3 linked regions of the Mytilus edulis genome follow. The protein of the gene in region 1 interacts with the protein of each later gene in a biochemical or structural test. Links are inferred from orthologs where the notes say so. Each region holds a gene or a part of one and is shown on either strand. Other genes may lie near its edges.

The links.
Region 2: the proteins of unconventional myosin-VI-like (region 1) and tax1-binding protein 1 homolog B-like form a complex in vitro, tested with the Homo sapiens proteins (5 studies listed by BioGRID, with this or other methods). The link is inferred for Mytilus edulis from reciprocal best matches to the Homo sapiens genes MYO6 and TAX1BP1.
Region 3: the proteins of unconventional myosin-VI-like (region 1) and disabled homolog 1-like form a complex in vitro, tested with the Homo sapiens proteins (7 studies listed by BioGRID). The link is inferred for Mytilus edulis from reciprocal best matches to the Homo sapiens genes MYO6 and DAB2.

What each region holds. Positions count from the first base shown.
Region 1 is NC_092353.1:45,603,235-45,613,368, forward strand, and holds the start of unconventional myosin-VI-like, read right to left. Parts: upstream 4,053-10,134; 5' UTR 3,924-4,052; exon of another isoform or gene 3,687-3,923; intron 578-3,686; exon of another isoform or gene 412-577; intron 1-411. UniProt on the Homo sapiens protein: Myosins are actin-based motor molecules with ATPase activity. Unconventional myosins serve in intracellular movements. Myosin 6 is a reverse-direction motor protein that moves towards the minus-end of actin filaments.
Region 2 is NC_092345.1:32,306,474-32,317,149, forward strand, and holds the start of tax1-binding protein 1 homolog B-like, read right to left. Parts: upstream 4,104-10,676; 5' UTR 3,996-4,103; exon of another isoform or gene 3,952-3,995; intron 2,443-3,951; 5' UTR 2,436-2,442; coding exon 2,387-2,435; intron 774-2,386; exon of another isoform or gene 520-773; intron 1-519.
Region 3 is NC_092344.1:59,957,325-59,967,901, forward strand, and holds the start of disabled homolog 1-like, read left to right. Parts: upstream 1-5,451; 5' UTR 5,452-5,534; intron 5,535-5,701; exon of another isoform or gene 5,702-5,918; intron 5,919-10,577. Other genes in the region: uncharacterized protein, read right to left, coding at 1,424-3,217. UniProt on the Homo sapiens protein: Adapter protein that functions as a clathrin-associated sorting protein (CLASP) required for clathrin-mediated endocytosis of selected cargo proteins.

The sequences.
Region 1 (10,134 bases):
CATATGATAACATGTTTCAAATATTAAGATCAGTGCATGATCACAAATTTGAGGTTCATATGACTGCATGAGCACCTTAAACCAAAACTTATAAACCTGAAACAATGTATTCATACTAATTGAAGGGCGAAAGTATAGATTCAAAAACATGATCCCTCAACACTTTTGATGGAATAAAAAGTGTTGTTTTCAATTACCATGATTACAAGTTAAGCAAATCTAGTATTTTGCAGAAAATTTTCATTGCTCGAGACAAATTTTCATTTCAAATTTATGGCAAAAATAATTTATTGATCAGTTTTTTCTGTTATTCATGATTTTATATTCATATTGAGGATTAAAAGACTAAAAGAGTGAAAAATAAGTATACATCTTCAACTATCAATCATGCTGATAATAAATATGACTTACCTCCCTTGAAGTGGCTGAGGTTGCAAATTGAACATAGACAAAACTTTCTATTTCTTTCTAAATATGCTCAAGTAAGACATGAACAGTCCCTTGTATGAACAACTGTAGATCTACATTAGGATGAACAGTGATTAGAGGACCCTTTTTTTATTTTCTGAATGACGAGCTGAAGGATTTTATAAATGAATTAATAAGTCTGCCTCACAAATTTTAGAAGGTCTTCTTGTACATGTATGTGTCTTGAAGAAATCAACATCTGTTGTTATTTAGATACACATGAAATTTTGAAGCATTTTAGAGAAAATACATGTGCATGTCATTGTATGTCACTAATCATTCCGATAAAGCTATTTATCTCCTTATTACTGGGGGGGGGTTTAGAATTTTTTAAATCCACTGACTTAGTGTTTTTTCACATGAAAGCATTGTTTCCATTTTACAGTGATTTAATTAACCCATTGTGTATCTTTTACAGGTATTATAACAAGACTTTGAAGATATAAAAATCAATGATGGATTGTAGATAGACATTTTATAATACTACCATGAAAAATTTAAATGTAGAGAAAAATATCATACACAGCAGCGATTTCTTGTCAATGTCAAACTGGTCAACTCAAATTGGGCTTTTAGGGTATGATAAACATGATGAAATAAATCTGGGAAAAAATATGTATACAAAAAAAAAGAAAAAAAAAGTTCACTTGACATTAAAAAATCACAGTCTGAGAGAGGTTTAAATTAACCAATGCAACTGCATGCACCTTGAGCATTTTGTCAATAAGTAAAATGATGGAATCTTTGGTTATTTGAGCAAATCTTTTCCAAGCAGACACCATAATTACCTTAAAATTAGTAGAAGATATTTCAGAATCTGTCATTGAATTGTGGTAGACAACTAATTACTGCTCTGTGTATTATACATTACAAATGGTATAGACACCATTGACCAATATCAATAAACAAATACATGAAATACTATAACTTTTTCAATTGTGTTATAGTTACATGTACATGTAATTGTTTTATTCCCACCAGGTGAGGACAGGTGTATACCATGTTGTTAATTGACTTGTTATTGACAGGTAAGTGCTAGGTAAGGAAATTACAGTTAATTATGTCATCTTTTGTTATTCGAGATATTTATTTTTTAACCTTTATCTTATATAGTACACAATTTGATTACCTGAGGTTATTTTAGTTGAAAGAAAGGATTAATATTAAATTCTTTGTTCAATTGACACACCATATATATATATATTCTTTATCGTAATATTCTTTATAAAGCACAAAGGTGTCAGTATTCACCTCAGAAACTTACAAAACCTTTGAATAGACTTATTAAGAAGGGATATAATTACGATACTGTTGTCAAGTCATTAAAGATTGCATATTTTGGCGTTAATATTGAGTCACTGATAAGGTCTTTGCATCGGAACTAAACACATTTATTCTAAAAACAGTTGTTGGCATGACACAGGTTATGTTCTTCTCATATATGTTATGATGGTATGATACTAAACCCCTAACGGGAAGGATTGTGCCTGATGTTCATATGATGAAATCATAATCTTTCAGTCAGTTTAGTTGAAGTCTGGAGCTGGCATGTCAGTTAACTGCTAGTAGTCTGTTGTTATTTATGTATTATTGTCATTTTGTTTATTTTCTTTGGTTACATCTTCTGACATCAGACTCGGATTTCTCTTGAACTGAATTTTAATGTGCGTATTGTTATGCGTTTACTTTACTACATTGGTTAGAGGTATAGGGGGAGGGTTGAGATCTCACAAACATGTTTAACCCCGCCGCATTTTTGCGCCTGTCCCAAGTCAGGAGCCTCTGGCCTTTGTTAGTCTTGTATTATTTTAATTTTAGTTTCTTGTGTACAATTTGGAAATTAGTATGGCGTTCATTATCACTGGACTAGTATATATTTGTTTAGGGGCCAGCTGAAGGACGCCTCGGGGTGCGGGAATTTCTCGCTATATTGAAGACCTGTTGGTGACCCTCTGCTGTTGTTTTTTATTTGGGCGGGTTGTTGTCTCTTTGACACATTCCCCATTTCCATTCTCAATTTTATTTAACCTTCAGCAAATTTGCAAATTAAACAGAAGTGATAAAGTTTTGTAAACATTGAAGAAAATTAAGCCCAGCAACAAAACATTTAAATAAAACTGGTTTAGACTTTGCAATTCTAAAATACATACATGTACTGCTGATTGATACTTAGTTTGTGTGCCAATATGAACATGATGAAAATAAGGAGATAGTGTATGTCATTGCCAATGAGACAACAAAAATTTAAAAATAAAGTGGAATTATGGGAAACCATATATATATATAGTCATGATAGTCTTCAACAATGAGAAAAAACATACTGTATAGTTGGCTTTAAAAGATCTTACCTAACTTGAATAATATGAAACCATATTTAATTGAGAAAAATAACCACCTTATTTATCATGTTCTAAATAAACAATTGTTTGTCTACATGGTCTACATGTATTTGAAAAGTGTAGCATTGACCAGTGGTGGATATTGTCATTTATACAACTAAATAAAAACAAAAAACTTAACCTTCATTGCCAAAGGAGGATCCAGGGGTTGATTGAATAGGGAATCACTGAAGCATAAATGGAGAGGGCCCACCGTCAGTCATTGCCCCCACCCCACCGGCACCCCATACAAAAAGTTCTTGATCCGCCACTGAATGCATTGGCTGCTTCTGTCAATGCATTCAATTTGGATTTGAAACTTCAGATCATTATAATGATTATTGGAGTTTTCAATCACTGGCAAAAAGTAAACAAGGAAATTTAATGATAAAATAGACTTGTCATTTGCTTGTGAACTTCCCCCTTCAATATTTGTTTGTCTGTATCACATCCTGTTAAGCAAGCTATAGACATGTGGGTTAAACAGTAACAATGATATTAATTACCAGATAATCTCCTATATGTATTATAATATATGTGATAATCTATATTGAATTGAAAGGGTGTGTCACCTAAATTTGAAAGTTTGCTTTTGTAGCTCTGACATCATTTTAAACGTCAAAAACCCTTGAATTATATCAGATTACAACATACTGCAAACAAGTCATTGATAAAAAATTTAGAAAACCCTTTTTACCTGGAATTATCAAGTATGACTTTTTACATGTTTTACCTGTATATTCAGGTGTGGATATTAGGGTTAATTTCAGAGTTTGTAAAAATGTTGTCACGAATTGACGATTTGTCATCCTTTTGTACTAAATTATTATAAATTCTTACCAAAAATTGTATCCAGTAATTGTGTGTTGAAGGTGTTTCTCTGTTTTATTTCCCAAGTTTATTACCGGTGAGTTGACCTGCTAAAAATAGGAGTAGACGCGCAGTGATATTGAAAACACCTGTTCAAATAGTTCCTTTATTTTCTTTTGTTTTGACCTCTAATAATTACTGGAAGTCCAAGATTTTACCAGCAGAAAGAAAGAGTAAATACATTGGTTTAAGAATCAGTCAACTTACCCAGAGAGTACCAATTTCGTACTTTTTTTGCCAGGTATGCTGAATTGCCGGATGTCAAATAATACACAAAATAAAATGAACCGTTCAAATTCCGGACTAACATTGAAAACTTCAAGAGTTTTAAAATTGTTATTGACAAATTATCAATTTCCATACGATAAATCATCGAAGGACACGCACCTCCATGACCAAAAGAAAAACAAACAAACAAACTAAGGGTCTGGATGGGAGCCTTTAGTTTCCTTAATTGTAATTTTTAAGATTTTTTTTCTTAATCTTTAGAAATAACTCTTATTTTGTTATCTTTTTATGAACATGATTATATTATGTTTTTGTTTCTGCAATTATTCTACTATTTGTTTTTATTCTGTGTGTATGTTCCACTGTGTGCGAAAAATTCTGATCTTCTAACCATTGCAATCGACGAGCAAAAATGTCTGCACCGATATTGTATTTTGAAAGCTTTTCACATTATTTCTAAGCTTTATTAGCTTTGAGAACCTAAAATTGATTAAACTGTAGCTGTTATGATGTCAGCTGCCGTGCCGTGTGTTTTTCTTTTGAGATACGATATTTTCGAACAACAAAATGTCTCACCAATCCGACTACACTTTTTCGTCACATGTCAGAATTCAGGTTAATGATTGGTTAGAAGATCAGATATTTTCGAACATACATATTTAATTCTAAATAATCAATAAAAAGATTTCCACAAAAAATTGAGATACGAGGTTTTTGCATAACAGCGACGATATGTCTTATTTTTGTTTTAATGGATTGCTGTCTCGTCAACGTACACCAACATCTCTCTTTTTTTTTTTATCCATTCATCATTCGAACAAAAAAAAAAAAAAAACCATGATAAAAAATAAAAAAACATGATAAAAATATATATCAGGAGCACATAACTTCAAATTGCGTACCGCGCGGGTCTTCAGGACTGCAAAATTATGGTATACCCACTGTAAAAGTGGACATTATTCTCAGGTAAACAATTTATACATGCTATACTAGTCAAGAAATGACACCACCATATAGCTAAAGATATCAACTAGATCCTATCAATTTCCCTTTGTTTTTTCCTTTGCCGGTGTTCGGACATCCTTTTACTAACCGACTGACCTTTTTTTGAGAAATTTATGTTTTTTTATGACCTGCTGGTTTGTACTAAACATTTGATTTTTATATGTTTAAAATTAAAAAAAAGAGAAAAACAAATATTAATATTCGTACTTCTATAGGCTATAGATATAGTTGACTGAGATAGTTGACATATGTGTTATACTCTGACTGTCGGATTGAATGAGAAAAGTGTCCATAACTCTCCATTTTTCATTAAATGTACTTCGTGGCAAACATTGCAAGAATTTGAAATTCAGTTTTACTAAGGAACCTTTCGTTCATCTTTTCTTGGGGGAGGGAGGGATGTTCAATATGAATAACACACTTTCTATCGTAAATCGTTTACTTAGGAACTGGTCATTTGTAACATTAAGAAAGGGGAAGAAGTTAAGGGGACCTTGATAAGTTTTAAAAATTTAAAGATGTTTAGTCTAATTTTCCAATACTTGAAAATGGGTGTGGGGGGATCAAAATTTGCTCACAGGATTCGAACAATTCTATATAAATATATTTCAAGCCTACAAAAATCATATAGTTAAAATTGACAATAGACACGCGGAATCGTGTCAAAGAGACTACAATACGACCATAGCTAATTTGATGAATACACTAAATCAGTATTTGATTGACTATTTTCAGCAGGAATATCTAATACGCGATTCAGATGTTTTTTCTATATCTCTTGTGTTATCATTTTTTACTTCAAATTTCATTTCAATATTTGTTATATGCAAGTCATGCCATCTTCTGTTTGTTTGTTAGACATGAAGAACGACTATATCAGGGATGGATGGTTTGATGTCTCAGATTTTGCAGATTTTCGAAGCATTGTATGGTTTGTTGTAACGAACACAAGTATTGAGAGATGATGGGATGATTTTTTTTTGTCTTTGGAAAGGATGGGGGGTGTCTTTATTTTATTTTATTATTTCAAGATCAGGACTTGAAAAAAATCAGACTTTCAGTTTAGAATTTCCATTGGAGTTCGGTATTTTTGTTATTTTACTTTTTTCCAAATGTTACGTCCCCCCCCCTCCCCCACCCGAAAGCATAGTCATTTACCCAGTCGACGCACCAAGTCACGCTCCATTTGAATTCGAGCAAGTCCTCAAGTTCAGTTTGTGTGGTTTTTTTTTTTTTTATCTATTTGTCATCCTATTAATCAATTTATGAGAATTTAATGTCGTCAAACCTCTGCTACCTTAATTCATACCTTCAAAATAAATAAGTTTAACATATATTTTTTTTTATGGGATGACAGAAGGGGGATCACAAGTTTTAAAATTTTTGTAACAATTTTAAATTATATATAAATAATATCAGGAGCACACACAACTCAAATTGTGTACCGCGCAGGTCTTCGGGTTTCCAAAATTATTCTATGCTCACTGGTAAAAGTGCTTATTATTCTGAAGTACTAGTAAACAATTTGTAATAGAAAAAAAGATATGGGGCAAAATGATTAGGATAGACTTTGTAAGATGTATCACAGCCAAATCGAGCATTATAAAAAAACATACAGGAAAGTATAACATATTTAAAACAAAATAGTTTCTACGCATAAGGTGTAATATAAAGCTATGTAGAATATATTTTAGTTGTTAAGGTATCAAATGAAAGGTGAATGATTGGTGATCCTTGTACTGACTAATAATTTTGAATAATACAAAACTGTATGAACGAATTCTAAAACTTCGGGCATATATATTGCCTGTTTAATTTCTCGGTACATGTTATACTAGCCAAGAAATAAAACATCACAACACAGATATATATCAACAAATGCTAAACCAATCACAAAAAAGCTTGATCCTATCAATTTTCCTTTGTTTTTTCCTTTGTCTGTATTCGGACATCCTTTTTACTAACAACTGACTTATTTTGAGAAATACATGTTTTTATGACCTGCTGGTTTGTACTAAACATCTGTGTTTTGTTGTTGTATTTTTTAATTAATAATAAAACAGATAAATGTTAACATATATATGTTAATATCCATATGGGCGTTGTTGAATTATATGTTACATTCTGACTGCCTGATTGAAGCAGTGGCGGATCCAGAACTTTGCCTAAGAGGGGGCCCGCTCCAGTCATGCTTCAGTGATTCCCTATATACTCAACCAAATTTTTCCCACGAAAGGGGGGGCCCGGGCCCCCCAGGGCCCCCTTGGATCCGCCTATGTGAAGGCAAAAAGTGTCCATAACTGTCCCTTTTTTTTTAAATTCAAAATGAACATCGTGGCAAACACTCCAAGAATTTGAAATGCAGTTTTACTAAAGCACCGACCGTTCGTATTTTGTCAGGAAGGGAGGGGGGTTCAATCTGATTAAAATAACATATTTATCGTAACTCGTTTACATTTTCAAGGGACTGGTCATTTGTAACCTGAAAGTGGGAAGGATAAATTAAGGGGGCCTGGAAAATTTGGGAATATAAAGTGGGGGTCTAATTTGTTAATAATACTTTAAATGAAAAAAGGAAAAAAGGCAGCGAAATTAATTCACAATATTTGAGCAATAAATTCTGTAATTCACACATGCAAAAATTATAGCTTATTTGATGAATATACTAAATCAGGATATCTAATTTCATTTGATCAATATTTGCTTCATGCAAGTCAAAGCCTTCTTTTATTTGTTTGTTAGATATGAAGAACGCAATATCAGGGATTGATGGTTTAATAATGTCTTAGTTTTTGTAGGTTTTCTGGAAGCTTTTATAGCCCGGCCGATCGGTGAAAAAATTGCTCAAATAATGAGGAAAGCACCAATTTTTGCATGATGGTACATTTTTTTTTGTACTGAGCAATATTAGCTATGGACCCACCCTCAAAATTCAATATGGCGGATTATTTCAAGATGGCTGCCGTACGTTCTAAAATATTTTCCAGTATTGCACAGTGGATTAGATGCTGGAAGCACTAAAATCAACATATTTGAATGACTTGGTGTACTTAGCAAGATTTTGTTTTGATCTATCTTTGAAATACAAAATGGTGGCTATTTTCAAAATGGCCGCCTTGAAAACTAAGCAAATATTCATTATTGAGAATTGACCTGAATATAAGAATTTTATTGATGTACAGTGTCATTTAGTATTTGTCCCAGTTCTGTCCTTTTTAATTTTGCCTTGCTTGTTATTTCATACACAAAGTAGTAGCTTTTATCAAAAGCTGTAGTAGTAGCTTTCATTAAAAGCTGCACTATTTGTTGTCTTGGGTCACACATAAAAGCTGTGATTTGGGATTTATCTGCCTAAAGATATTATTCAGTGCCTATCTTATTTCTTTGGTCGCAATATTTTGAAATTTGAGATATTATACTGTGAATAGAAAATCTTTTAAACACATATCAGTGAAATGGCAGAAATTGAGGACAACAAAGACAAGAACATTGAAATGGCAGAAACTTAATCACTTGGGGATACGGAGAAACCCACAGCTGAAGACGCTTTAACAGAGGACAACTCAGAAATGACTATTAAACAATTGTACCAAGAATTTTTAGCAGATAGAAAATCTAATGCTCAAAGAACAGCTTGGATTTACTGCAATATAAAACAGAGCGAAGAGCGAATTGCTAAAATATGTGTTGGTCTCGATTCAAGCAGAACAGAAAGAGGCAATGCATTTTAATAACGAACAGATGGGAGCAATATCTCAGCAACTTCAACAGTCTGAAGATAGGGTAGACCACACGGATAGTGGAAATTGCTTGGCGAAATGGATGGTCAGACCAATAACATATTCAATGTTGTGGTGAGACGGATGGACAAGCTGAAAACAACTGAGGAAGGAGACACAGTTCAATTTAAAGTTGCATTTGAACAGTAGGATACCTTCCAACAACTGGCATATGTTGTAAATGAATTAGTGGACAATTGAAATAAAGAAGTTAAAATGCCTGCAATGAGCACATCATCTAAGCTAAAATTTTACCTTAGCCAGTACAACGCAAGTTTACCAAAAGTACACAACGAAATCCATGCCTTGGGTCTTTCCCCAATTGTAGCTCGCATGAACCATCAACCGCGCAAACTTTGCTAAAGGTGTCTTCACCTTAAGTCAAAAGTCCTATGTCAGGGCCAATGGCCCTGCACGAAACAGTTCAAACTATTCAACAACAATCTCCATTTAAGAACATACTATAAACCTCTAATCAAGGATACCAGCAAAAGGCTTATGTGTCGTCTTACGCACACATACCATCTACTTTGAGTCAATAATATTTGGTTCAGAGCAGCACATCATTAAAGAAACAATTGGCTGCAAGTGGATCCTATCAAGTTTCTCCAATGCTGAATGCAGTGCCTACTTACGGTATCATCCCCGTCGATTTAATGGCAAATCCCACATTTATCACTCTAATTATGACAACCTCGTCAGCTCCTGGAGCTCTAACAGGCTTCCATTAACAGCAAGCTGACTCCACTGACTGACCAAGGAGAGGGCAGAGGAAACCAAAAGAGTTGTTCTTCTTCAGACTCCTCATTGGAGAGAGAATATACCCGATGGCAAGAAAATATCGGTGCAAGGGACTGGAGCCGAAGCCCACAGCTCCCAAAAATGCAAAAACTCAATTGAAGAGGACCCTTGAATTGGGAGGCGTTCATTTACCAATTTTAACGAACTGCCGATAGATGACAATGGAAAAGCAGGAAAAATGTGTGTAGGCCTCAGATTGCCAGGCCGATGTTGGCTTTGAGTACGCTCGCAAGGTAAACACTGATGATGATTCCAAGGCCTTAAAAAAAGCATTGGAACAGCGCTTCAGCAAGAAAGACGATCAAACCAGATTGGAACCGAAGCATTCCTCCGAGAATGTAAAGACAAAAATTCTACAAGGCATGTAATAGAAAGGAACCCAGAAACATTCAACAAGGCGTCAAAACAATTGAAAACCTCAATAGCAAACCAGATTGCGATATATGGATCAAAAAGTGCCAATTATGACCATCGACAAGTTTACTTTCCTGATGGTGCAGTATCACCGACCGATAAAGGAAATATGAGCAGTCCTTTGGATAATGAGGTGCATAACCTCACACAAATTGTCACACAACTAGCTGATGTTATGCTTTCAACTAATC
Region 2 (10,676 bases), on another chromosome or scaffold:
ACCCTGACAACAGACTACAAGCTTTATGTTAAAACTGGAGTCAATAACATTCTAAAGGATCCTAAACTTTGTCAATGTAATAATTTTACTTTCTGTTCTGAAAAGCAATTCATGACCCAGTATACTGTACATTGTACATATCACTATCTATAATATACACTCTATAACCTGTCTGGAAGGAAACAATTGTTTCAACCTTAATTTATGATACATGTACACATATAGCACTGTATAAATGTATATAGAGTCCCCTCTATTTCTTTCAATTTTTTATACAAAATCTTGTAGCCAAAAATTTACATCCATGATATCATTTATATTTTTGTACTGTAAATGTTTGAAGTTGACTTTCACTTTCTGTTTCATTCTAAGAACTGAGATTCTTTTCTTGTAATTTTTAACAACAAAAAATAATACTTTGAAATTGAACCGACTTTGCTGAAAACTTAAATAAACATGATAAAGGCACCAACACACCTTTACAAAAGTGAGAATTATATATATATTATTCAAATGTACCTGTAAATATATACCAGTAATTCCTTGAATATTCAAAAGTCCTTCAATAATATTTTTTCATGTCCATTATTTCAAACAAGGAAGTGATAATAGTTATTTTAAACCCTCACATACGTAGTAAACAATCAGTAAACAATCGATGTACACATATATACATTGTGTACATATCTATAATCTTATTCATGTAATTGTATACAGACATTTAAAATGGGTACTATTTCAGACATTACATAATCTTATCTACTGAACCAAAGTCCATCTGAGTGCCAATGAAACCAAATGGACCAAAAATTATTAACAATCCTGCATACATTTTATCATTAAATTAACTTAGTAACCAAAAAGTGCTGTATTGATAATTTCTGAACTAAAACATTCGATCAAACATTCAAACAGATACTACCTTATCAAAATTTATACACAAAAAAATAATTTTAATAATATTAATTTACCCCAATAAAACAATAAACTGATGATAAAGAGGCTATTTATGTAAATGAGTTCATGATCCTTATTGTTGTCTATCAAATTCAAGGAAATTGTGTGAAAATGAAACACAAATACATGTATTTATTTTTATGAAGGAAATCAATACTACAATTTTCGGTTACCAGAGTGATTTAAAATTTGAAATAAGTCTTGTTAGGCAAAATAAAAAAGTCTGTGTGGTTCCAGTTACATCTGAAAAAAAGTTAGGGTAGGTAGGTGAGGATTTTTTTTTATTTTATGTTGGTTTTTTTTACATTGAGTCTATGGGAGCAACATTCTGACTTTAACAGTGCTTAATGAAAAAAGATAATAAAATCTTTAGGGTAGGCTATTTTTGAGGCAAAAAAGTAGGGAAGGTAGGGTTACTGGAACCACACATATATTTTTATTTGGCCTTACATCATTACATAAAGAAGTATTTTAATCATACATGACTTATCTTGTCAATTGATAAACAAAATAAAAATAAGCTATCAGACAAGATATATTTGACTGTTACACAATAACCATGATAATGTATCACCTTTGTTTATATTTGTAAATTTAAAGTTTTAATAATTTTACAATGTAAAGAATTCAAATATTAGCAAACAGTCTGAGAACTGATGACATATCATTAAACTGATATTTATTGTGGCGTTACTGCATTGCTTTTTAAGGTAAAAATCTGCCAATCATCTTTTAAATGTTGGGGTTTAACTTCTTTTATTTTTTAAATTACTCTAAATTATTTTAATTCTGTTCATTGTGAAGACATTAATTTGAAATTTTCACAGATAAAAACAGAATTAAGGTCACTTTTATTTATTTTAAGTTTGGTAATTATCAGTTCATGAAGACAAACAATAGATATACTCTAAACTATTCATACACATCAGTGGTGGATCCAGAGGGGGAGGGGTTCCAGGAGTTGGACCCCCCCCTTTTTTTTTTTACGATCAATGCATTTAAATTGGGACCCCTCCCCCCCTTTTGAAAATGTCCGGATCCATCCCTGCACATTTGTTTGGCCAAAGATTAACAAGAATCAATAATAAGTTGATATGATCAAATGATTTAGATGTAGATCATACACATATCATGCATGCACTTAAATTTCAAGTGGATAGTGTACCGGTACATGTTTGTACATTTAGGAAATTATAAGTGTTTGTAAACAATATGAATTGAGATAGTGTTCTCAAGCCTCTTGGCCTCTTTTAAAATATATCTTTTGGCATGGTTCTTGTTGCATAGTCTTTAGTTTCTATATTGTGTATTGTGTACTATTTATTTGCTTGTTTTTATCTTTTTTAGCCAGCCATGGCATTGTCAGTTTATTTTCGGTCTATGAGTTTGAATGTCCCTCTGGTATCTTTCACCCCTTTTTTATACTTACTTTGATCACTTTTGTCTACATCGGGCTCATCATCCATACCAAATCTCATTATTTATCTGTAAGCAAAAAATGCAAAAGCTCAGTGTAATTCACTAAATAGGATTAATCAGAAATGTTTGAAATGTTTTTATTTTGAAGAAATTTGAAGGATAGTTTTTGCAAAATAAAAACTAGAATCATGTCTTTCACCAGAAAAGATTGCCAATTTCACACACCATTAGTCATTACATGTATATGACATCATTTATCAGATAGAAGGTGCGTCTGTATGCTTGCTCTATTTAAAGTTTCCAGCACTTTCAGAATCGTCATTCTGTAGGGTTGTATAGAAGAATTTAATTTCAGTAAGTACGTTATCTTGATTCCCAGACGACTGAGGGAGGGTCACCATCTTATTAGATTTTAATTTCCTAAATATTTTGTACAGTATAAATCAAACTTTTCATCTGTTTGCTCAAAATGTGTTAGAAGTGACAATGCCTACATTTTCGTCACTTGGTGATAAAAGTCACATGACAAATTCAACTGCAGTTTTCCCAAATAAGGATAAGGTCTATAAACCCATGCTGATTCCAATTGCTTTTAACTATCTTGCTGCTGAAAGGACACATGTGTCCACACTGGCTGTGCTGGAGGAAAACATGTGTCAATGATTTAATTTATGCAGGCTTCTCATTACTGCTGTGTATTTTTCATATACATGTAAAAGATTTAACTGTAATATTTTCGTCAATGGCTCCAAAATGTAACGGTTATTAGGGCATGATGTCATTGTTGGGCATGTGACTTTAAAGACATTAAGCTGTCATATTTTCTGGCACACAAAATGCAACCTTAAAAAGCAACTGACAGCAAGAGGGGTAAATTTGTGATACAAATAGGTAAACTTCAAAGGAAACAGTTCGATAATACACCTTTAAGTTATTGCTATTTGTCCACCATTAATTACTGGACATCACAAAGGTTCCAGTAAAATTTTGACATCATAATACAAAATATCTGATGCCACTATATGGAAGTGATTATTGTATGAAGTCAATACTTCAAGTGGGGCAGATTCTCGAGTCATCTGTTATTCAGATGGAAGACTGGAAAACTTACAGAAGAACTCGGACATTTTTCAAATAGCAATAATGATGAACAAGGTGTATTGGTACCCTATAAAAATGTCAAAAAATCTTATATTTGAATCAAAGATAAACTAAAAGGGACCATTATCTTTATAATTATGTAATGTTTGTATGATTATTTTCCAGTATATTTATAATTTAGTTTATGGTAAACTATTTCCACAATCTTAATTTGTTCCAAATTGCATGACTTTGATGGCAAAAGTCATACAGCCTACTGTTGCAACACATATGATCTTATTGTTTTTCTCTTGCTTATGAAAATAAATTTCATTGAAATGGAATGTTTACTTTTTCTACAAATGGCTGAACAGCTGGCAACAAATAGGTCAATGTGTCAACAGACAACACATTTTTTTTCCATCACATAAATGACAGAAAAAAGACGAACAACTTACTGACCATTCTACTTTCGTGTTATAAAACCCGACTTACATTACGTTGTGTTCTTCTGTTTTGTTAGAATCAGTTATAATTACCTTTGTCGCGAAAGTAGACAATATACGTGTTTTCTAGAATGACAAATAATGTTTTTGTTGTGACGAAAATGTCTATTTTAGGAAATTATGGTCACGTGCTTAATGATTCGAAGATTTGCTATAAAGGGAGATAATTCAATTTTCCCGTACAAATTCATGTGAGTTCGTGGTCTAGTGGTTAAGACCGATGGCTACAGTGCTGAAGGTCCCGAGTTCGATTCTCACTCGGGGTGCTAAAAATATCAGTACATCAGAAGGGTAATTTTCACCCTCTCACACACATCTCTGGTACCCAGACCGGAGTTTAAACTAGAATGGGTACTTTGGGGGCCTCGGTTGGTCAAAGTTGTCCCCTACTTTGACCTGGAGATCAATCTTCTGATATCTCTCTGGTTTGTCTGTTTCCACCGAGTGGCCCGGTGGTTCTCTCCGAGTACTTCGGCTTCCTCCACCATAATAACAGACTTCCCGGTGTCCTACACGCTTCCTTGGGCGGTGTTGGGTGGGGATTGTTCTGGTGGTGGGATAATATTGTAAAGGACACATCTCCATTAATCCTTAGGGAGTGTACATGGATCCGCTGTACCCTTGCAGTCAATCAAGGGGTGCGTCTTAATTGGCGGAATCTCAGTACATACATTGGTCTTATTATTTTAAATAATTGACGATCTGTAGAATTAAGCATACCAACTTAAAAATAATATATCAAAAACTTCACATTACTGCATTGGCTATTTTTCAAGCTACCACTTTTGTGAATTAAGTAAAAGAAAAAGAAAAAAAGAAAAATCTGAGAAAATAGGCTATTTTTATCTACTAGACGTCTAGTAATGGACTTCTGGCTATATATAACATTCTTTAAGGAAACAAAAATAAAAGACAGTTTAACGAAACCTTTATCTAGTAAAGAAAAAGAAAAAGTAAAAAAAAAATCTTTAAATTCCTTATCTTTATTTTACCATTCAGTAGAAATGTTAGATTTATCTCCACATAAAAATGGCCAGCATGTTGAAAAATTGATTCGAACACAAAACAATATTTTTTTTTCTAAAACAGTTTCAACAATGCAATAAATTTCTCATATATATCTTTCTTCAAAATTCCCATCATCTCTCAGCACCCATGTAATTTTCTCACATTTCATATGACTTTTTTTTATTTGTGAATTGTTATTCTTTTAAAAATATTTAATATATTCTTTTTTCTTTTTTTCAGGGCAAATAAATTTGACAACAACAAAATAAACTGTTGAATTTGCAGATTTAAGCAAAGCACTAGCCCGATTTTGTACCGCTAATATTATACATTTCAAGTTGGCGGTATACAGTAGGTATAGGTACCTAGCTAATAGAACTGACATGATGTCACAAGAATTGTTGAAAAAAAATCAGCTATGGGGTTGCTACAACACTCCCCCCCCCCCAAACAGTTATATATACTTTCTTGATAATAAAATAAATATAGTCCCATTAATTTTCTGCGTACAGTAAACAAATGAAAAAAATTCTACACCACTAATGTTTTTGCATATTAGTTACTTTCTAGAATTGTTTATTATGCCCTTAATTGTTTATATATAATAATACAACACATAACATGTAAAATAAGAAAGACACGTTTGTCTTTAGTTTCCAACTGATTGAAAATAAATGTTCGTCGGCGCATACAAAAATTCACTTTGACCTTCACAACTGAAATTAAAACTGTTGCTGCCGTAATCCTATCACATTTGTTTAATTACTTGCACGATAACACATTTCTCCTTTTGTCTTATAACATTCTTAATTGTTTTCTTTGCAGTACATGGAAACCTTTGTTATTTTGCACCAAACCAATCACATTTGTTTAATCACTTGCACGATATCACGATGGTCGCCTTTGTTATTTTGCACATGACCAAATTTGTTTTGTTACCCGATCACATTTGTTAAATCACTTGCACGATATCACGATGGTCGCCTTTGTTATTTTGCACATGACCAAATTTGTTTTATTACCCGACACATTTGTTTAATCACTTGCACGATATCACGATGGTCGCCTTTGTTATTTTGCACATGACCAAATTTGTTTTGTTACCCGATCACATTTGTTAAATCACTTGTACGATATCACGATGGTCGCCTTTGTTATTTTGCACATGACCCAATTTGTTTTATTACCGATCACATTTGTTAAATCACTTGTACGATATCACGATGGTCGCCTTTGTTATTTTGCACATGACCCAATTTGCTTTATTACCGATCAGATTTGTTTAATCCCTTGCACGATATCACGATGGTCGCCTTTGTTATTTTGCACCAGACCAAATTTGTTTTATCACCCAATCACATTTGTTAAATTACTTGCACGATATCACGATGGTCGCCTTTGTTATTTTGCACATTACCAAATTTGTTTTATTACCGATCAGATTTGTTAAATCACTTGCACGATATCACGATGGTCGCCTTTGTTATTTTGCACATGACCAAATTTGTTTTATTACCGATCAGATTTGTTTAATCACTTGCACGATATCACGATGGTCGCCTTTGTTATTTTGCACATGACCAAATTTGTTTTGTTACCCGATCACATTTGTTTAATCACTTGCACGATATCACGATGGTCGCCTTTGTTATTTTGCACATGACCAAATTTGTTTTATTACCCAATCACAATTGTTTAATCACTTGCACGATATATCACGATGGTCGCCTTTGTTATTTTGCACATGACCAAATTTGTTTATTACCCAACACATTTGTTTAATCACTTGCACGATATATCACGATGATCGCCTTTGTTATTTTGCACCAGACCAAATTTATTTTATTACCCAATCACATTTGTTTAATCACTTGCACGATATCACGATGGTCGCCTTTGTTATTTTGCACATGACCAAATTTGTTTTATTACCCAATCACATTTGTTAAATCACTTGCACGATATCACGATGGTCGCCTTTGTTATTTTGCACATGACCAAATTTGTTTTATTACCCGATCACATTTGTTAAATCACTTGCACGATATCACGATGGTCGCCTTTGTTATTTTGCACATGACCAAATTTGTTTTATTACCAATCAGATTTGTTTAATCACTTGCACGATATCACGATGGTCGCCTTTGTTATTTTGCACAAGACCACATTTGTTTTATCACCCAATCACATTTGTTAAATCACTTGCACGATATCACGATGGTCGCCTTTGTTATTTTGCACATGACCAAACTTGTTTTATTACCGATCAGATTTGTTTAATCACTTGCACGATATCACGATGGTCGCCTTTGTTATTTTGCACCAGACCAAATTTGTTTTATCACCCAATCACATTTGTTAAATCACTTGCACGATATCACGATGGTCGCCTTTGTTATTTTGCACATGACCAAATTTGTTTTATTACCGATCAGATTTGTTTAATCACTTGCACGATATCACGATGGTCGCCTTTGTTATTTTGCACAAGACCAAATTTGTTTTATTACCCGATCACATTTGTTAAATCACTTGCACGATATCACGATGGTCGCCTTTGTTATTTTGCACCAGACCAAATTTGTTTTATTACCCAATTACATTTGTTTAATCACTTGCACGATATCACGATGGTCTCCTTTGGTATTTTGCACCAGACCAAATTTGGTAATTACCCAATCACATTTGTTAAAAAAAAAATCGCAAAATGGCATGAGCACATTTCTCCCTTTTGTCTTATCACGTTCCTCCTTGTTTTTATTGAATCACATGGTCGCCTTTGTTATTTTGCACTAGACCAAATTTGTTTAATCACCGCATTACATTTGTTTAATCACTTGTATGATAACACATTCACAGTTCTCTCAATTTCTTATCACATTCTTCATTGTTTTCGTTGAAACACATGGTCGCCTTTGTTATTTTGCACTACACCAAATTTGATTAATCACTTAAATGATAGCACAAGCACAGTTCTCTTATAATCTTATCACATTCTTCATTGTTTTTTTTGAATCACATGGTCACCTTTGTTATTTTGCACATGACCAAATTTGTTTTATTTCCCGATCTCATTTTTTAGTCACCCGCATGATTGCACAAGAACGGGTCTCTTATAATCTTATCACATTCTTCATTATTTTCGTTGAAGCACATGGTCGCCTTTGTTATTTTGCACTAGACCAAATTTGTTTAATCACCCAATCACATTTGTTTAATCACTTGTATGATAGCACAGTTCTCTAAATATCTTATCAAATTCTTCCTTGTTTTCGTTGAAGCACATGGTCGCCTTTGTTATTTTGCACCAGACCAAATTTGTTAAATCACGTGTATAAAAGCTCAAGCACAGTTCTCTTATAACATGCTTCATTCTTCATTGTTTTCGTTGAAGCAAGGGGTCGCCTTTGTTATTTTGCACTAGACCAAACTTGTTTAATCACCCAATCACATTTGTTAAAAATCACTTGTTTGATAGCACCTTCACAGTTCTCTCAATATCTTATTACATTCTTCCTTGTTTTCGTTGAAGCACATGGTCGCCTTTGTTATTTTGCACCAGACCAAATTTATTTTTATTACCCGATCACATTTGTTTAATCACTTGCATGAAAGCACCAGCACTTTTCTCCTTTTTCTACTCACATACTTCCTTGTTTTGTGAAGCACATAGCCGCCTTTATCATTTTGCACTAGACCAAACTTGATTTATCACCCAATCACATTTGTTTAATCACTTGCATAAAAGCGCAAGCACAGTTCTATCAGTATCTTATCACATTCTTCATTGTTTTCGTTGAAGCACATGGTCGCCTTTGTTATTTTGCTTCAGACAAAATTTGTTAAATCACTTGTATAAAAGCTCAAGCACAGTTCTCTTATAAGCTTATCACATTCTTCACTGTTTTCGTTGAAGCACATGAAGGGTTGGCAAAAACCCGGGTTTTATGAGTTTTGCCCAGCCCAGTGGTAAATACTGGAAAAACCCGGGTTTTACTGGGTTTTAGTGGGTAATACTGTGCAATACTGGGTAATATAAAATACTGGTCTGAATTTTATAGAGGATTTAGTGATTAAACACAAATGTTATACATTTAAGATATATATAACCTTTTTTGTTTGTCTGGATTGATAAAACTGTAATTAAAATAAATATAACTCCTATTTAAGAACTAGCAATTACATGTAAGAAAAATTACATTTAAAAAATGTATATGTACTGTCACTAATTAGTTAGTAATTATTCAGATTAGAATGCAGATTTGTTTATGTAACAATAATCATCCCTTTCAATTTTATAAGTGTTAATGGCATGACCCCTTAGGCTGTTTATTTAGCAATATGAATGTACATTTGAAATTAAAAATTCACTTAAACATTGCAATAAATATTTTTTTTTCAAAGTATGGATGATTATTGAAAACAATGCTTCGTAATAAACAAGGTTTCCTTAAATGTGCAAATCTTGTATTCTGTCTACATAGAAGGGAACGCAATCGAATTTTTCATTCTGTTAGAAATGAATGTCAATGATTATCTGTATAAAAGTATATATTCAGCTGTAATGCTATGAAACTACACCAAGACTTTACTATTTTGTCTTAAAATAAGCTAACAAAATCATATTGCCCAGTAATGCCCAGTATTCCCAATTTCTGGGAGTATTGCCCAGCCCGGGAAAACCCGGGTTTTCCCATCCGGGAATTCCGAGGCGGGTTATACTTTGCCAACCCTGATCACATGGGCGCCTATGTTATTTTGCACTACACCAAATTTGTTTTTATTACCCGATCACATTTGTTTAATCACTTGCATGAAAGCACAAGCACATTTCTCCTTTTGTCTACTCACATACTTCCTTGTTTTCATTGAAGCACATGGTCGCCTTTGTTATTTTGCACCAGACCAAATTTGTTTTTATTACCCGATGACATTTGTTTAATCACTTGCATGAAAGCACAAGCACATTTCTCCTTTTGTCTACTCACATAATGCCTTGTTTTCGTTCAAGCACAGGGTCGCCTTTGTTATTTTGCACTAGACCAAATTTGTTTAATCACCCAATCACATTTATTAAATCCCTTGTTTGATAACACATTCACAGTTCTCTCAATATCTTATTACATTCTTCCTTGTTTTCGGTGAAGCACGTGGTCGCCTTTGATATTTTGCACCAGACCACATTTATTTTTATTACCCGATCACATTTGTTTAATCAATTGCATGTAAGCACAAGCACATTTCTCCTTTTTTTCTACTCACATATATCCTTGTTTTCGTTGAAGCACATGGTCGCCTTTATTATTATGCACTAGACCAAACTTGTTTAATCACGCAATCACATTTGTTTAATCACTTGTATGAAAGCACAAGCACAGTTCTTTCAGTATCTTATCACATTCTTCCTTGTGTCGTTGAAGCACATGGTCGCCTATGTTATTTTGCACTACACCAAATTTGTTTTTATTACCCGATCACATTTGTTTAATCACTTGCATGAAAGCACAAGCACATTTCTCCTTTTGTCTACTCACATACTTCCTTGTTTTCGTTGAAGCACATGGTCGCCTTTGCTATTTTGCACTAGATCAAACTTGTTTAATCACACAATCACATTTGTTTAATAATTTGTATGATAGCACTGTTCTTTAAATATCTTATCACATTCTTCCTTGTTTTCGGTGAAGCACATGGCCGCCTTTGTTA
Region 3 (10,577 bases), on another chromosome or scaffold:
ATAATTTCTTTCTACTATAGTTTTGCCCAAAGTGCAAAATTGCGTACAAAATCCTCATCCGTACAGGTGAATAACTCCTATGATTAGTGGACTGACAAAGTAGAAATTAATATTTACTCTCAATTCAAAAATCTCATTTAAGGGCAATAACTCCTTTGCTGAGTTTACCGACAGTTTCATGGAGCTATATTTGACTTATTTGCAGACCCTAATTGTCTAACTGTTTATTTTTGATTTGTGAAGTTTCTCTTTTTTACTTTAGTTAGTGGCCCAAAATACATACAAACTAATAAAAAAACTGATTTCGGGACAATAACTCCAATAAGGAGTTGACAGATAATTTGGCCATGTTTAAAAAAATGTAGCTGAACTTTTTTCTTCTTTTATAAATATAGTTTAAAAAAAATTAGACAAAAACGCAACAATTGTCATTTTATGGCAACATTAAAGGGTTGACAATTTCTTTGTTGTCTTATTTGTAAATCTTGTCTTGCTGATCTCTTTTTCCATTTTAGAGTTTCTCTCTATTTATAATAGTTTACAAACAAATAAAAACAGGCAAAACCACAAAAATGGTAAACATCGTGGTTTAAGGGCAATAACTTACTCTTACTATTACAAACAATAAATTAACAAACAACACACTTAAAAGTAATACCGTTTAAATGAATACTTTCACCGAAGTATTTATAATCTGTCTATATGTGACAATCGCCATCCAATAAGCCTAAGTAATATTGACGTATGCACTTCCGAGCAGTTTTCCTGTTCGGCAACGTCATAAAAAACACAGGTACACACGACAAATCTGAATTCCAATAAGGGCTTGGAAGCGACAGTTATAATATAATATAAATGATGCAATGACCGAAGCACAATCACCACTCAGCAATAAGTGCATCAAGCTAAAACACCGATTTAAAAGACAACATCAAACCTTTTTACTAAAAAAAAATCTTGAAACGCAAATTTGTCTGCACCAGTTTCAACCAAATTCCAGTAGACATTACTGCACCTCCTCAATATAAATCTGTTCATTTAAGAAAAAAATCAGCATTAGTTTTTGTTGATTCATGACATCCATCATTTTCAGTGACAAACAAAGGACGATAATTCAAATGTCAAGCTTAAGTTTTATGTCGTTAAATTGATTAGAGTTATCTTTCTTTGTCTGATTAATATAATGTAGCTCTATCATGTCTATATCAAGTCCAAATAATTTTCAAGACGTCATAATTATTTGGACTAGTCTATATCTACATGAACCATGACTATTTCATTTCAATGTGAAAAGAAATGTTTTTCAGTAACAAATCTCAGTGTATTCTTTTGTGTCTATACATGTCGTGCTGACCATCAAGGGCATTGATTGCAATAATAGGTATTCTTATTTTTATTGTAATATAAAACAATAAATTGTCGTCTACTTGCAAACTGTATAAATATCAATAGATACTCCGTCGTCATTAATAATCATTAACCTTTGAGAATCTTGATCAAATGCCAGACCCCAAGGATGATGTATTCCTTCGTCTAAGACCATGGATTTAGTTCCTCTGTTTGACAACCGATGGATATTTCCAGATTCGTACCCAGCAACAAACACGTGACCTAAGCCATCTGTAGCGAGTCCAGATGGACCAACCAACGTTTCAGATCTGCAGATAAATTGTGACCGCTCTCGCGCAATGCATTGGACTTCATCGCCGTTGTTACTTGTCCAGTAAATGGAGCCGTTTATTCCTGCGCTTAAAAGCAACGGGTCATATTTGGTGTTTATTTTGAAAATGGAAATTCCCGCGCGATCGAGAATGCTTATTTTGCAGTGTCCACTCCGGACGATGATTTGATCGTCAATGCAGGAAATCGCAGTGCATTTCCCGCCAGGTCTTATAAATCGATCTGGTCTACATTCACTGTCGGTGATATCAAAAACTTGTATACCCCTCTCGCCTGCTGCGACAACGGCTGTATTCCTGTCAAACAGGGCAACATCATGTGGAAAGTACAGCAATGGAATTTTCTCGGTCATTGACCCGTACAGGTTACATACAAATATAAATCTATTCTGCGCATCGCATAAAAGCATATGCTTCCCTGAGATAAAACAGCCACGTGAAACTGTGATATTTTCTCCTAAAGATGAAGACGTCGGGAATTTTTTGTATAGTACTAGCTGTATAATCGAGGGAGTTTGAGGTACAAGTTTTATTAACGACAGTTCACTTTCTTTGAAATTACTAACGGATCGAGTTGATACAGGTCTAGGTACAATCTTGCTCTCTGTTGGACTTTCCCATTGTTTGCTGGTCGGCCTAGGTGAAGTTGTTTTTTCAGTGAAAGCAGATTTGACTCGATTGATAACTTTAATATCGACCCAACCCATTGCATTGTAAAGCGATGCCAATTGTTCTTCGTTTTGGGTGAAATCGATTTCCAATGGTTTATATCTATCTCTGAAGTTACTTATGATATCTTCAGTTCTTGGTTTAGTCTGTTCAAACTTCTTTACAATTGTGAACTTATAAGGTTCAGAACCATTCTTTCTCATTAATTCAATATCACTATCGTGAATAGACATCAGGTCTTTATTATGTTGAAGCTGGGAAATTTCATCATCTATTTGTTCAACACAGGAGTCGTATTTCACACTGAGACTGTTTAGTAGTTCTTCTTCTAGTTTTGTTAGATGATCTATGATTTCAGACTTTGTTTTCTTAATTGTTTCTTGAATTGTCTTGTTTTGTTGATCAAGGTTTGCTAGATTTTCTTTCCTGGTATTTATCAGTTGGTTTAAAGAGTCGGCAAGTTTTAATGCTTGCTTTTGTAGAACATCAAAATAGTCGTTACTACTACTGCGCGGTCTCTCTGGCATTAGCTGCTCAATTGCAGTAATATATTTACAGTCCTTGTGTGTTTGTAACAAACAGGTTTGGCAAATCAGCTGGTCATGTCTATTGCAGTAGAAGGTCACTCTTAAATCGGAATGAAGATCACATAAGAAAGACGTAGCCATTAGAAATGATTTAGTATTCTTAACATCCCGGAGACGGATAAGTTTATGCGAGGTTGTGAATCTAGACTTTTTATGGACCTTCCCACAATCCTCACATAATGCTTCGGCACAGTCACAACACCAGTGTTTGGCTTCAACATTATCATTGTCCCTTAGACAAGCAGCGCATATTTCGATATTGACTTTCTTTTCCTTTTCCATCTGAAAGTGTAAAAAGTCATGTTTTCTATTGCTATTATAAACAACGGTACGCCTAGTAAATAACAATGGGGCACCTGTGTTATCAAAGGATTGAACCCTTTCCTTATTCCCTCGAGATGACATTTAAAAATTATCATGCATGAAAGTATATCAGAAATATGCTGGACAGTTCCACTACCAACACCAAATATATATGTAAGATAAGTTTCGCAGAATCAAATAATATGCCTGTACGAAGTAAGGCTATCTGAGCTTTGTATTATTCGTTGTTATTTGTAAGTATGTTTTCTGCGAGGGGTTTATTGCTGTTTGTACTAGTAAGTCATAGTGTGGTGGAAGGTTGAATATCAATGTTAATACCTTCTGTCATATGTATAAAATGGTTAGTAGCAATTGTTATTAAACTGCCACCAAATGTATAGCAGATTGGACAAGAAAAATTCTATCATAAGTGTATAAGTTCAGATTTATTATTTCTTCCATAGATCAACACACAAACGGATTGCTGAGCAAAAAAAAAAAAAAAAAGAAATGAACTCATAACCTTAGAAAATGCTAGATTAGAATGAGTTGAAAGTATGAGCTGACGAAAATGAAAGATAAAGAGGTCCGAATGGATTTACGGATTAGATAATAATTGGCAAAACATTAATGACAGTGAGAAATAGAACAACAAAAAAAAGGAATAAAGAATGGAATTTTCAAATATTAAGAAAATTATAGCTACGGTAAAAAAATACAAAAATTACAAATAAAGAAAACAGGATAACTGCTATAAAATGTATGCATACAGAAATGACAGACTCCCTCTAAAAATATAAATAAAATCCAGACACTCTTACTAGGCATTATCGTTTGAATTGATTTATATGTGGCATTTTGTGGCCATTTCTAGCTGACTATGAGATATGGGCATTGTTCAATGTTGATCGTTACTGTGACCTATAGTTGTAAATTTCTGTGTCATCTGGTCTCTTGTGAAGAGTTGTCTCACTTGGGCGTACATATCACATCTTCTTTAAATATACACCAAGTATACGCATGCAGCACTCATAACCACCCGTCTATATTTGCCTACGAAAGGAAAGCACCTCAGTTCATGTAAATAAAAAAGATTTAAGCTTGAAATATGTTTGTATAACGCTGATATCTTACCTTTCCCTTTTATTTTCTTTGAACTGTTTTAAGCTTCTTTAGATAAATTGTCGATATATTCCTATTATAATATGGTAAAACTTATATATGCGACAAAAGCACTGATGCGGATCAGTAATTGTTTTGAAGAAGTAATAATTGAAATTAAAACTTGAAATATAATCATTTATCAAATTGACAATAGTATATATAAACTAAAATAGTAATAGTCTGATATGTTTTGATCAAAAGTTATGAGATCTAATATAGTTGCCCTTTACCAGATTTTTTCAATTTCACACACGAAAAGATTACAAAAATATCACATTAGAGATAAAAGACTTATTCATGTTTCAAATTTTATTGTTTTAGGGGCCTTTGACAGACAAGGGAGGGAAAGGGGGAAGGTTCCTTTTGTCCCATCTTACGGTATGTATATATATAGTTTACCAACTCGCTCTCTATGACCGTGAAGGTTGTAGTTCCTGACGTTTTAAATTAATGAAGGTAAATTATATCCGAAACTGATTTATAATTTATAAAGTCAGGCATTTCGTTACCGTTTTTTGTTTTTGGATCATATATAGAAATCTGATCAAAATGAAATGTAATATTTATGACGACACGAGGACGGAGGTTCAACAAGAAAGTACACAGGTGAATTAATGAAAAACTTGATAGAAATCGTGTTTCCATGATCCTAGTCAAAAAATGTAATTATATTAAAGTAAATATGCTTCTTTTAGTAATTTTATAGGGTTTTAAAAGCATTAACCATGCGCATATTTTTTAAATTTCGGTCAACGTTTTTACTTAAAAAAAATTACAAAAAGAAACATGAAATTCTCAATTGAAAATTTTGTTCAGTCAAAACGCATGAAATATTTGTCACTGGACGAAAAGAAAACTTGAGAATCATCAATCAATCCGGCAATCCGTAATTTCATTTCAGTCAGGTTATGTCCATCGTTTCAGTTTATGGCTTTAAGTGTTGCTGGCATGTAAAACATAAATACTCAATGACTTCTGTTCTTTCTTTAATATAGAATAAAATACCATGTTGATTTTAATACTCATTTTCGAATATTCAAGTCCTTACCGTGGTTGGTTTCTTTTTAGTTTGATTTTGGTTTGTTTTGATGCATGATCGCCCACGAGAAAATGGGTACATGAATAACAAAGGGTAAGTGAACATTTCTATAAACTGTCAGACAAAAGTTAATAGATTTTTGAATTTCTTAAAAATTATGTGTTCCTTCATCCTAATTTATTCACAGTTTTGTTCACAGAAATTCGCTTTATTTTTGGATCACCTGATCTCAACTTCAGAAACGGGGTCAAAGTTGTTGAACCATTTCATTTCACTTTGGAATCCTTAAAATTGGTAAAATACAAACCAGGAAATGTTCTACTAGTTTAGAAAAATATTCACATGTTTTCAACTTGTAATTTCCTAATAAGGAACGGTTAATTGCCGAGATAATAGTGTGTATCTGAAATGTACATGCTACACGCCCCCTTTTACGATATAATATTGATAAAGTGTACCACTTTGGAATATCACAAAGTAATTATTATGTTATGAAGAAGAAAAAGATAATATTCACATAGATTAAGATTTTATACACTGCTAAAGGAATCAGAATTGAATACTTTAATTTCTTGTGTATCAATCATGTAAATGTAAGTTTCTTGTACTGTACACATGTACAATGATGTAGATGCAGGTAATATTAATTATTACATTTGTCAAATCTCCTTGTATAAGAATAATTTTTCAATGTTGACACTTGACAATTGTAATCTTTTGTACTTATTGTTGATGGTTACACTACATTTACAACTTGTTTTTACTATACCATGTCATTTACATACAGTTGTACCACATCTTCAATTCCTATATCTACATATAAACAAAAATTCTCCAAACCTCTTCAGAAGAGCATCATTGAAAATGGGTTAACCACAATTTTTCAAAGTTAAAAAAAAATGAGATTTTTTTTTAAAAAGACTGACATGTAACATAAATATCGGTACATATGAATTACTGCAAAATTGATGAATTATTTTATTATTGTTTCAGCTATTGTAGAATCATCTTATTTTTATGCCCCATTTACGATAGTAGAGGGCATTATATTTTCTGGTCAGTGCATCTGTTCAGCTGTCCATTCGTCCATCTGTCCGTTCGTCCGTCTGTCTTTAGGTTAAAGTTTTTGGTCAAGGTAGTTTTTGATGAAGTTGAAGTTCAATCAATTTAAAACTCAATACACATGTTACCTATGAAATGATCTTTTTAATTTAAATGCCAAATTTGATTTTTTACCCCAATTTCACGGTCCACTGAAGATAGAAAATAATAATGAGAGTGGGGCATCAGTGTACTTTTGACACATACAATGTACTTGGTTTTTGTATACATGTATACAAATGTACCTCATATATCTCTCATTTAATTTATTTTGGATTCAGATGTACATGTACATAACATCTTTGTTGTGATGTTATGCTATTGTTTCAGAAAAAGGGAGAAGGTTTGGATCCATTAAAACGTTTAATCCCGCTGCAAATGTTTGCACCTGTCCTAAGTCAGGAATCTGATGTACAGTAGTTGTCGTTTGTTTATGTAATATATACGTGTTTCTCGTTTCTCGTTTTGTTTATATAGATTAGACCGTTGGTTTTCCCGTTTGAATGGTTTTACACTAGTAATTTTGGGGCCCTTTATAGCTTGTTGTTCGGTGTGAGCCAAGGCTCCGTGTTGAAGGCCGTACTTTAACCTATAATGGTTTACTTTTTAAATTGTTATTTGTATGGAGAGTTATCTCATTGGCACTCACACCACATCTTCCTATATCTATGTATTGTTAATGAGCATTCACTTTAATGAGGGTCACTCCAACCTACATATGTATATGCATTTACATTAGCTTATTGCCCTAAAAAATAATATTAACAACCCAACTCTAGTTTTAAGTGTCTCCCCTTAATGATTTTAAAAATTTTTGAACAAGCACAACATTTGCACAAGGCACATACTATTTTTTCTGCTGTTAAAACCAATTTAAAAGTAATATTACCTACATTTGTTACTTCCAAACTCAATGATATAAGTTTTAAACCAAGTTGGGTCAAACCAAAGAATTGGTATTTTCTGCTTCTCTGCAAAACACCCAGAGAAGATATACTTGTAATTCAATGGTCCAGATAGCTTCCCAAGTTTGATGGCGGTGTCATATGGTATTTTGAACCCCCTAAAAAGTGAACCCGGGGTCAAAATACCATGCGGTAAAATGACCCCGGGGTCATTATACCGCATGGTATTTTGACCCCGGGGTCATTTTTCACATATGGTATTTTGAACCCCCCTGCGGTATATTGAACCCCCCTGTTTTTGATAAATAGTATTGCAGATAATCTAATTTACAATTTATTGGCTATCATTTTTTTTAATTTGTGCTTTTAAGTAGGGGGTTCAATATACCGCAGGGGGGTCAAAATACCATGGCTAAGTAAAATTTTCAAAATATCTTTTCCAGTATATTAAATACATACAAACTACTCATTGGAGTATTATAACTATGTTGAGGAGTAAGAATAGCTTGAATTTTTGAAATTCAAGGTCTATAGTAGGGGGTTCAATATACCGCAGGGGGGTCAAAATACCATGGCTAAGTAAAATTTTCAAAATATCTTTTCCAGTATATTAAATACATACAAACTACTCATTGGAGTATTATAACTATGTTAAGGAGTTAGAATAGCTTGAACTTTTGAAATTTAAGGTCTATAGTAGGGGGTTCAATATACCGCAGGGGGGTCAAAATACCATGGCTAAGTAAAATTTTCAAAATATCTTTTCTAGTATATTAAATACATACAAACTTCTTATTGGAGTATTATAACTATGTTAAGGAGTTGAAATAGCTTGAACTTTTGAAATTCAAGGTCTATAGTAGGGGGTTCAATATACCGCAGGGGGGTCAAAATACCATGGCTAAGTAAAATTTTCAAAATATCTTTTCCAGTATATTAAATACATACAAACTACTTATTTGAGTATTATAACTATGTTGAGGAGTAAGAATAGCTTAAATTTTTGAAATGCAAGGTCTATAGTAGGGGGTTCAATATACCCCAGGGGGGTCAAAATACCATGGCTAAGTAAAATTTTCACAATATCTTTTCCAGCATATTAAATACATACAAACTACTTATTGGAGTCTTATAACTATGTTGAGGAGTTAAAATAGCTTGAATTTTTGAAATTCAAGGTCTATAGTATGGGGTTCAATATACCGCAGGGGGGTTAAAATACCATGGCTAAGTAAAATTTTCAAAATATCTTTTCTAGTATATTAAATACATACAAACTACTTATTGGAGTATTATAACTATGTTAAGGAGTTAGAATAGCTTGAACTTTTGAAATTTAAGGTCTATAGTAGGGGGTTCAATATACCGCAGGGGGGTCAAAATACCATGGCTAAGTAAAATTTTCAAAATATCTTTTCCAGTATATTAAATACATACAAACTACTTATTGGAGTCTTATTACTATGTTGAGGAGTTAGAATAGCTTGAATTTTTGAAATTCAAGGTCTATAGTAGGGGGTTCATTATACCGCAGGGGGGTCAAAATACCATGGCTAAATAAAATTTTCAAAATTTCTTTTCCAGTATATTAAATACATACAAACTACTTATTGGAGTATTATAACTATGTTAAGGAGTTAGAATAGCTTCAATTTTTGAAATTCAAGGTCTATAGTAGGGGGTTCAATATACCGCAGGGGGGTCAAAATACCATGGCTAAGTAAAATTTTCAAAATATCTTTTCCAGTATATTAAATACATACAAACTACTCATTGGAGTATTATAACTATGTTAAGGAGTTAGAATAGCTTGAACTTTTGAAATTTAAGGTCTATAGTAGGGGGTTCAATATACCGCAGGGGGGTCAAAATACCATGGCTAAGTAAAATTTTCAAAATATCTTTTCCAGTATATTAAACTATACTTATTGGAGTATTATAACTATGTTGAGGAGTTAGAATAGCTTGAATTTTTGGAAATTCAAGGTCTATAGTAGGGGGTTCATTATACCGCAGGGGGGTCAAAATACCATGGCTAAGTAAAATTTTCAAAATTTCTTTTCCAGTATATTAAATACATACAAACTACTTATTGGAGTATTATAACTATGTTAAGGAGTTAAAATAGCTTCAATTTTTGGAATTCAAGGTCTATAGTAGGGGGTTCAATATACCGCAGGGGGGTCAAAATACCATGGCTAAGTAAAATTTTCAAAATATCTTTTCCAGTATATTAAATACATACAAACTACTTATTGGAGTCTTATATTAAACTATGTTGAGGAGTTAGAATAGCTTGAATTTTTGAAATTCAAGGTCTACAGTAGGGGGTTCATTATACCGCAGGGGGGTCAAAATACCATGGCTAAGTAAAATTTTCAAAATTTCTTTTCCAGTATATTAAATACATACAAACTACTTATTGGAGTCTTATAACTATGTTGAGGAGTTAGAATAGCTTGAATTTTTGAAATTCAAGGTCTATAGTAGGGGGTTCATTATACCGCAGGGGGGTCAAAATACCATGGCTAAGTAAAATTTTCAAAATTTCTTTTCCAGTATATTAAATACATACAAACTACTTATTGGAGTATTATAACTATGTTATGGAGTTAGAATAGCTTCAATTTTTGGAATTCAAGGTCTATAGTAGGGGGTTCAATATACCGCAGGGGGGTCAAAATACCATGGCTAAGTAAAATTTTCAAAATTTCTTTTCCAGTATATTAAATACATACAAACTTCTTATTGGAGTATTATAACTATGTTAAGGAGTTAGAATAGCTTCAATTTTTGAAATTCAAGGTCTATAGTAGGGGGTTCAATATACCGCAGGGGGGTCAAAATACCATGGCTAAGTAAAATTTTCAAAATTTCTTTTCCAGTATATTAAATACATACAAACTACTTATTGGAGTATTATAACTATGTTAAGGAGTTAGAATAGCTTCAATTTTTGAAATTCAAGGTCTATAGTAGGGGGTTCAATATACCGCAGGGGGTCAAAATACCATGGCTAAGTAAAATTTTCAAAATATCTTTTCCAGTATATTAAATACATACAAACTACTCATTGGAGTATTATAACTATGTTAAGGAGTTAGAATAGCTTGAACTTTTGAAATTCAAG